Linked DNA regions of Bombyx mori. The main gene of each other region encodes a partner of the protein of the gene in region 2 in a complex. Links are inferred from orthologs where the notes say so. Each region holds a gene or a part of one and is shown on either strand. Other genes may lie near its edges.

Evidence for each region.
Region 1: trafficking protein particle complex subunit 11 (region 2) and trafficking protein particle complex subunit 12 share a complex: the UniProt entries of both Homo sapiens proteins name them as parts of the multisubunit TRAPP (transport protein particle) complex. The link is inferred for Bombyx mori from reciprocal best matches to the Homo sapiens genes TRAPPC11 and TRAPPC12.

What each region holds. Positions count from the first base shown.
Region 1 is NC_085126.1:10,497,204-10,500,983, forward strand, and holds part of trafficking protein particle complex subunit 12, read right to left. Parts: intron 3,520-3,780; coding exon 3,439-3,519; intron 2,974-3,438; coding exon 2,893-2,973; intron 1,654-2,892; coding exon 1,473-1,653; intron 500-1,472; coding exon 342-499; intron 1-341. UniProt on the Homo sapiens protein: Component of the TRAPP complex, which is involved in endoplasmic reticulum to Golgi apparatus trafficking at a very early stage.
Region 2 is NC_085125.1:14,660,346-14,664,571, forward strand, and holds the start of trafficking protein particle complex subunit 11, read left to right. Parts: upstream 1-1,409; 5' UTR 1,410-1,598; coding exon 1,599-4,226. UniProt on the Homo sapiens protein: Involved in endoplasmic reticulum to Golgi apparatus trafficking at a very early stage.

The DNA of each region.
Region 1 (3,780 bases), on a different chromosome or scaffold from region 2:
ATACTCGGTAGCCTGGTTTTTACTGGTGGTAGGACCTCTTGTGAGTCCGCGCGGGTAGGCACCACCATCCTGCCTATTTCTGCCGTGAAGCAATAATGCGTTTCGGTTTGAAGGGTGCCGTTGTAACTGTACTGAGACCTTAAAACTTATATCTCAAGATGGATGGCGCATTTACGTTGTAAATGTCTATGGGCTCCGGTAACCACTTAACACCAGGGGGCTGTGAGCTCGTCCACCCATCTAAACAATAAAAAAATCCATGGACTTCAGCAATGCCAAGCTTAGAGCTTAGAGCTTGCTCAAATGGTAATAAATTCTCTGGTGTCCACATTTCGAATTACCTGGTAAAACATGTCGGGTTTGGTGCAGTCGCCGAACTGCTCCGCCTCCCTGATCAGGGGTTCATGTAGCTTGATCCTCAGCATCAGGGAGAACCTCGTCAACCAGAGCTGGAGGGAGCGCGGCGTGTGCTTCGTGGGTCTGTGCATCCGTCCCACGCCTGAGGGACAAGGTGAGATGTGAAGTGAAAGGCTTAATTACTATTGTCATCGCTAGATGGTGCTGCCTGATTCCCAACACGCGCTAACGTCAATTGTTTTTCGTTCGTATTTATAGCATCCATCTCAAAAAATTATCCGAGGTTACAACGTAGATTTCCTATGGAGTTTTTCAAGTGAGGGTCACGATCTGTCGACGGTTCGTGACCCAACGGAGTGAGACAAGTGCCAGGCAGGCAAGTAATGGTATGTTAGCCATTGGCCTATTCCGATTTCCGATCACGAATTCGGTCCTTGAGTCGATCAGTCAGTCTCAAATGGAGATAGGACGCGTAATGAATTTACTAGCATCCTTATTGCATAGATACTAGATAGGCACGAGCTCACAGTCCGCCTAGAGTTAGCTGGTATAGTAACTACCTTAATAGCTGGCACCCGCCCCTTCGGGCATACGCACATGAGAGAAGCTTCCTCCGGTCTCAATAAAATTATTTTCTTGGCGCTGAGGAAATATAGGTACATGATGGCTACGTAAATGCTCATAAAAAATACGTTCATGTTAAAGTTTTTTTTATTGCATAAGAGGGTGGACAAGCTCACGGCCCACCTGGTGTTAAGTGGTTACTGGAGCCCATAGACATCTACAACGTAAATGCCACTACCCACCTTAAGATATGAGTTCTAAGGTCTCAGTATAGTTACAACGGCTGCCCCACCCTTCAAACCGAAACGCATTACTGCTTCACCGCAGAAATAGGCAGGGTGGTGGTACCTAACCGTGCGAACTCACAAGAGGTCCTACCACTGCCCTGCCTATTTCTGCCGTGAAGTAGATTGTGTATGGGCTCCAGTAACCACTTAACACCAGGTGGGCTGTGAGCTCATCCAACCATCTAAGCAATAAATAAATAAAAACCTACCCGTGCGGACTCACAAGAGGTCCTACCACCAGTTACAGTTATCCAATATAGTCACCCTGTCCGGCGGCGCTGATGAGCACCGCGGTGAGGTTGACGGCCGCCCTGAAGTACCCGGTGCGGATGAGCTCGCGGAGGCCGGGCTCGTCCCGGGTCACGTGGTCGGCGCGCACCACCCCGCGGCTGCCCGCGCAGCTCACGCCCAGGTACTTCACCGCCACCTCTTGTAACGCGTCCGCCTGGGCACACGAACGGACTTACACACTTACATGTTTTACTGGTAGGACGTGTTTTTTTTAAGGCCACCCATGTCGCCCATGAACTTCAGCAACGCCAGGGGCAGAGCCAAGCCGCTGCCTACCGTTAAGTACTCTCCACAAGCCTCGTTTGAAGAAGGACATGTCATAGCGCTCGTGGAGGGGAGGTCATTCCATAGCCGGATGGTACGTGGCAAAGAAGACCTCTGGAAACGCTCTGTCGATGAACGCAGCGGTTCCAGATAATATGGACGAACTCTGCTCCGATGGCGGGAGGTGCGATGATAAAAAGGAGATGAGGGGATCATCTCAAACAATTCCTCAGAGCACTCCCCATGGAACATACGGTACAAAATACAGAGGGAACCGAAGTCCCTCCGCAGACCCAGAGGTTCCAAACGTGTTGTGAGTCCGCATGGGTAGGTACCACCACCTTACCCAATTATACTGTTAAGCAGTAATGCGTTTCGGTTTGAAGAGTGGGGCAGCCGTTGTAACTGTACTGAGACCTTAAAACTCATATCTTAAGGTAGGTGGCGGCATTTGTAGATGTCTATGGGTTACGGTAACCACTAAACACCAAGTGGGCCGTGAGCTCACCCACCCATTTAAGCAATAAAAAAACAAACATATTTTAGCGCAATATATTATATACTCTGGTTTAAATGTGCTGTAAAATATATTTTTTACGTCATAACAGAAAAATTTCACATCACGGACATACCAAATGCTAAACTTACATGCTAATTGCTAATATTCATTAATAAAGCCAAACTATCGGGTCAGCGTTGAAAGTGTTGAAACACATATACCTCTACTTTTCGCACACACTGTAGGGATAGGCGTCACGCCCACTGATACGGCGGGGGAACGTACAAAACAGTTTAGCGAAAATGATCTTTCACCGATAAGACATAAGGCAAATTTATTTTGTTTCAAAAACACGATTGTGTTCTAATTACCGTATTCCTTCTACATTTAAATGTAAATTGAATTATCGCGCCTCATTGAAAATGGATCTGAGATTTTAAATGTCCCGTGCCATTTTTGAATCCTGCTCGTATTTGTGTATATACTACAATTGTTTATATATATATATTTATATGTAATATTTATTTGTTTTACATGATCGGAGTCTGACTAAGACCGCTGATATTTTTTTCTGGTACCTTAAAAATATTCGTGTATAATCAAAAATAGATTCATTTAAGTTTTTCTTACCAGTTCTTCTTCAAGCACCAATCCTGGCATGGTCAACACTTCTCTCTCAGGGAAAAATGAACCTTTAGGTGACGATTGTGCCTGCAAATAAAAAAAAACAGTTTGTATTTATTACAGCAAAACATTTTGTGTGATTATGACAATCATTAGTTAAACAATTCCCAGGATCAAATCCCATAGATTTACTGGTGGCAGGACCTCTTGCGAGTCCGCATGGGTAGGTGCCACCACCCAGTAACCACTTAACATCAGATGGGCTGTGAGATCGTCCACCCTTCTAAGCAATAAAAAAAAATAGACAAGATACAATTCTTCAAAATCTTACTTGATATGTGTTCACAGCCATTCCCCAGTGCCTATACGTCATTACCTAAATGATGAGCATTTATTTTTAATGATGAATTATAGTTTTATCTCTATGTTATAAATTTTACACTCTGCACAATCTTTGGTGATCATATTCATGCGTGAACATATTTAAATGGCGATTGGCTCCAATCAGAGGTTCTGTCTATTGCGCTAAAATGTTCTAAATTTAAAATGGACCTTCATCAATGTCTTCTTGGCTTCTTCATTGGGTATCCAAGCGTCCCGTCTTCTTTCTGCATCTTTGTCTACAGGTTGATTCTGAAAAAAGAAATAATCTTTGTTTATAATAAACTAGCTTTCTACCCAAGATTGCACCCAGGTTGACTAAAAGCAGTCTGGTATTCATTTAAAAATACATCTTGTAAATGGAAACACATGCTCAAAAGTGGGATACAAGAAATTCTATTTGTTTCCCATGGTTCCAACTACTTCCATCCAAACCTTCGTCAAAATTGGTTTAGATGTTAAAGATAATAAAGTGAGGAACTTTCTTATCTATAATAACTTTAGTAACTATGA
Region 2 (4,226 bases):
GTAAGGTGACGCGGCATATAAAATCTCCACTTGGACACTTCTCCAGTCCTACGTCTCGACTGAAGCATGTCCATATTGACATCATAGGCCCTCTTCCATCTTGTTCTGACTTCCAATACTGCCTGACTGCTGTGGATCGCTACACTCGATGGCCCGAAGTTTGGCCTATGCACGGAATAACAGCAGAAGAAGTGGCGAGCACCTTTGTAGCCGGTTGGATTGCTCGATTCGGAGTACCTGCTGTCATCACTACCGACCAGGGACGACAGTTCGAGTCGGACCTTTTCAGACGCCTTACTAATTTATGTGGTACTAAACGTATACGCACTACTAGTTACCACCCTTGTGCCAATGGGCTCGTGGAGCGCATGCATAGACAATTAAAGGCCTCTCTGATGTGTTATGATGATTCGTGGTTGAATGCATTACCTTTGGTCTTATTAGGAATGCGTTCAGCTTTTAAAGAAGATCTACAAGCAACAGTAGCGGAATTGCTTTACGGAGAAACATTAACGCTTCCAGGGGAACTGTTAGTACCTCCCGGTCCTTCTGGTTTCGAGGACCCGACGGATTTTGTCGTAAAGTTAAGACAGCGTATGTCTAAATTGCGTCCCACTCCATGTTCCTCACACACTAAACCATCACCTTTCATATTTAAAAATCTTTCCACCGCCTCTCATGTCATGCTCAGGGAGGATTCGGTTAGACGTTCAATGCAACCACCTTACTCTGGTCCTCATAGAGTTATATCTAGAGCCGAGGACGGAAAAACGTGGTCGATTGATGTAAAAGGGAAACAGGTGACGGTCAGTGTCGACAGAATTAAGCCAGCTTTCGTCGAGCATTCTTTAGTAGATCTCGTTCCAGCCCCAGCACCGCGGGTTTCTGTGCCTCAACCAGCGCAACCGGATGCTACTAATGTCCCTTCATGTCCACTCGTGCCTTCGGCACCTCTAACTGCTACTCCTACACATACACCTCAATATACCACCCGGTCAGGTCGCAGAGTCCACTTCTCCAAACCTTTCGACCTATGATAATTTTTCTCTTTTTCTGCGGATTCTCCTTCTCCGTAGGGGGGTGGTGTGGCGTTTTATTATGCGTAAGCCGGAACGCACGAGATGTGGGAAAAAGGAGATAGTCTGTGCCACAATACCTTTTTTACCGCCAAATATGAAAAACATAAAAATAATTTATAATGAGTTAAATAACTAATTTAATGTAATTACTTTATGCCGCTACAACAATAAAATTAATATTGTTCCAACTGTGGTGTTAATTACATAAAACACAACCAGGCGAAATAAAGAAGGGACTCTATATGAGCTCCCTCAGGTACATTTTTTTCTATGGCTACTGCTATTTACGACTTACATACTAAATCTTTCTAAAACGTCAGACGTCAAAGCAAAGCTTTCAATTTTACTTTTGACATTACTCCCTGACGTTTTACGTTAAAAATTTGTGAAACGAATGATGGGGGTGTCACTGTCGTGTAGAAGAATCTGAATTTGTGTTCACCGTGATATTTGAGATGTTTAAAATAGTATTTAGAAGTTAAAGTGTGCTATACTACTGCATGATTAAGCTCATATAAAATGGCTACCCAGCCTAATGATTATACCGAATTCCCTACGGAGATCATTCTGAAACCTCTGGCTCTGATAGGACTATCTGGACTTGATGCAGTTAACAATGCCGTTCACAAAGAAATCTGGGACGCATTCGCGAATAACCGACGCGCTGATCGCACGCCTGTGAGATTCAAATTACTTAACAATACGTTTGAGTTTCCAGTGGTAAAGCCTAAGAGAAATTCATACGAATGGTACATACCTAAAGGCATACTAAAAAAAAACTGGATACACAAGCGTGTATCGCTAATACCCGCTGTCATAGTCATTTTCTATGATATGGATTGGAATGATACACAGTGGAATGAGAAAATTATAGAATGTGCATCCAAAGTCCAGTCTATCCGTGCTGCAGTAGAGGGACATGCTACTCGTGTGGCTGTAGTAGTCATACAAAGTCGGCAATCTCCTCCTCCTTCTGAGTACATGCTTGGAGCCGAGCGTGCCCAGGCACTTTGTGCTGCTTGTGAGATCCAGTCTAAATCCTTGTTTGTGCTTCCTCATGGTGATCACTTAATGGGTTATATAGTCCGGTTAGAAAATGCATTTTATGATATTGCACAAAATTATTACCACCATGAAGCAAAAAACATTAAGCAGCACAGAGACCACCTCAATAAAACAACACATCAGTATCTCTTTGTCAGACATCAGTTCAAACTGGGCTATCTGAATGAGTTGAAGCAGGACATCAATACTGCACATAAGCATTATGTTCATGCTTACAACAACCTGCTGGAAACAAGAACAGTAGATACAAACCTGCATGAAGTTAGAACAGTTGCTGGCTATATTAACTACAAACTGTGCAAGATACTTTTTGCATTAAATTTGCCAAGAGATGCAATTTCACAATTAAAATCTCACATTGAGAAATACAAAAGTAGAGTTGGTTCTACTGACCTACTGTTTGAACATTATGCGTGGCTAGCTAGACAGTACAGTGCCTTTGGAGAACTTTTTGATGAAGCTATCAGGGCTGGTCTGCCAGCCATTCAATCTCAGCATCCTGGGTTTTACTACCAGCATGCAGCTCAGTTTACTGTAAAAAGAAGACAGGCTATGCGCTCTCTTTGTGCTGAAGCATTACAGTATCCACCTGCTCCAGATCCTTTAGATGGTATTCTAGAATATTATGGTCAGCGACCTTGGAGACCTGGTCGTTTAAGTGCAGATCCTCATGACCCTCAAAAAGAACAGGCAGCTATCTTAGCTCTACAATACAATGAAAGGATATTCAATCATTCTACAATCATCATCAGCTTCCTTGGCAGTGCTATCTCACAGTTTAAGTCATTTCACTCTCCTAGAATGAGGAAGCAACTAGTAGTTGAAATGGCAAATGAATATTTTTATTCTGCTGACTATGGGAAAGCACTAACTTTGCTGACTCACATGTTGTGGGATTACAGGAGAGAAAAATGGTGGTATTTAGCTTCACATGTCTTGAACAGAGCTCTGCAGTGTGCATACCTTGCAGCAAAAATACAAGACTATTTACAGCTGTCAATTGAAGCACTCTCTAAAAATATCCAGGTGCCAAACAATGATAAAGATAGGATATTCAGAAATATAATGTCTGTTATACATTTAAACATTCCAGCTCCTGAACCCGACCTGCCATCCTCTTCTCAAAGCAAAGCTGTGGAATTGTGGCAGTCCATGATCGAAAAAGAGCCTTTGCAGGTTGCTGTGGATATGGCCAACATCTCCAGTTTTTTGGAAATCAAACCTAAATTCAAACAGATGAAATATAGAATGGATGAGTTAATTGAAGTGGAACTGTATGTTAGGCTAACATATCCAGCTGTCCTAGAAGTAAAGAAGGTGTATTTGACAATATCAAGTCAATCTGAGACTATTGAGATCCCAGTAACTGATGATATTAATCAGACCATAACATTAGAAGGGAGCAAAGTGAAAAGGTTTTTGTGTCAGTTCAAACCTAATCCCAAGGATGTTGGATCAGATTTACAGATAAAATGTGTATCTTTTGTTCTTGATTCTGAAAGGAAAAGAAAAATTATATTGAATTTTAAAACTGATGACAAGAAGTCAGAGTCAATTATACATCCAGAATTGTTACACTTCATCATGAGCCCTAAATCTGACTATGAATTTGATTGCATTGTGCCTTTGAGAGTAGCTTCAGTAACATCAAGAGAGTGTAAATGGTCCATTGAAGTTACAAATTGTAGTCCTGCTCTACAGGGAGAATGGTTTCCAACCACTTTCACAGTAACAAACAATGAGGAAATTGCTGTATCTAGTACAAAGATAGCATTATCTTTATTAAGTTCACCTGAAAATCCTAACCCTGAGTCAGTAACAGATTTAAGTTTGAAGGAAGGTGAAGCTCAGTTACAACCTTTACATATTTCTGTGGGCAATGTTAACAGATCAGGAACTCACACTAATACATTCTACTTAAAAACAAACAGAACAGCCACAATAACAGTTCAAATTAGAATATCATACATCATAGACCTTCCTGCAATCAAGAAACTAGAGTGCATGAAAGATTTTACATGTAAAATAACTGTCATCAAACCTTTTGAAGTAACCAGTGCATTTGTTAGTACAGACTTTAGT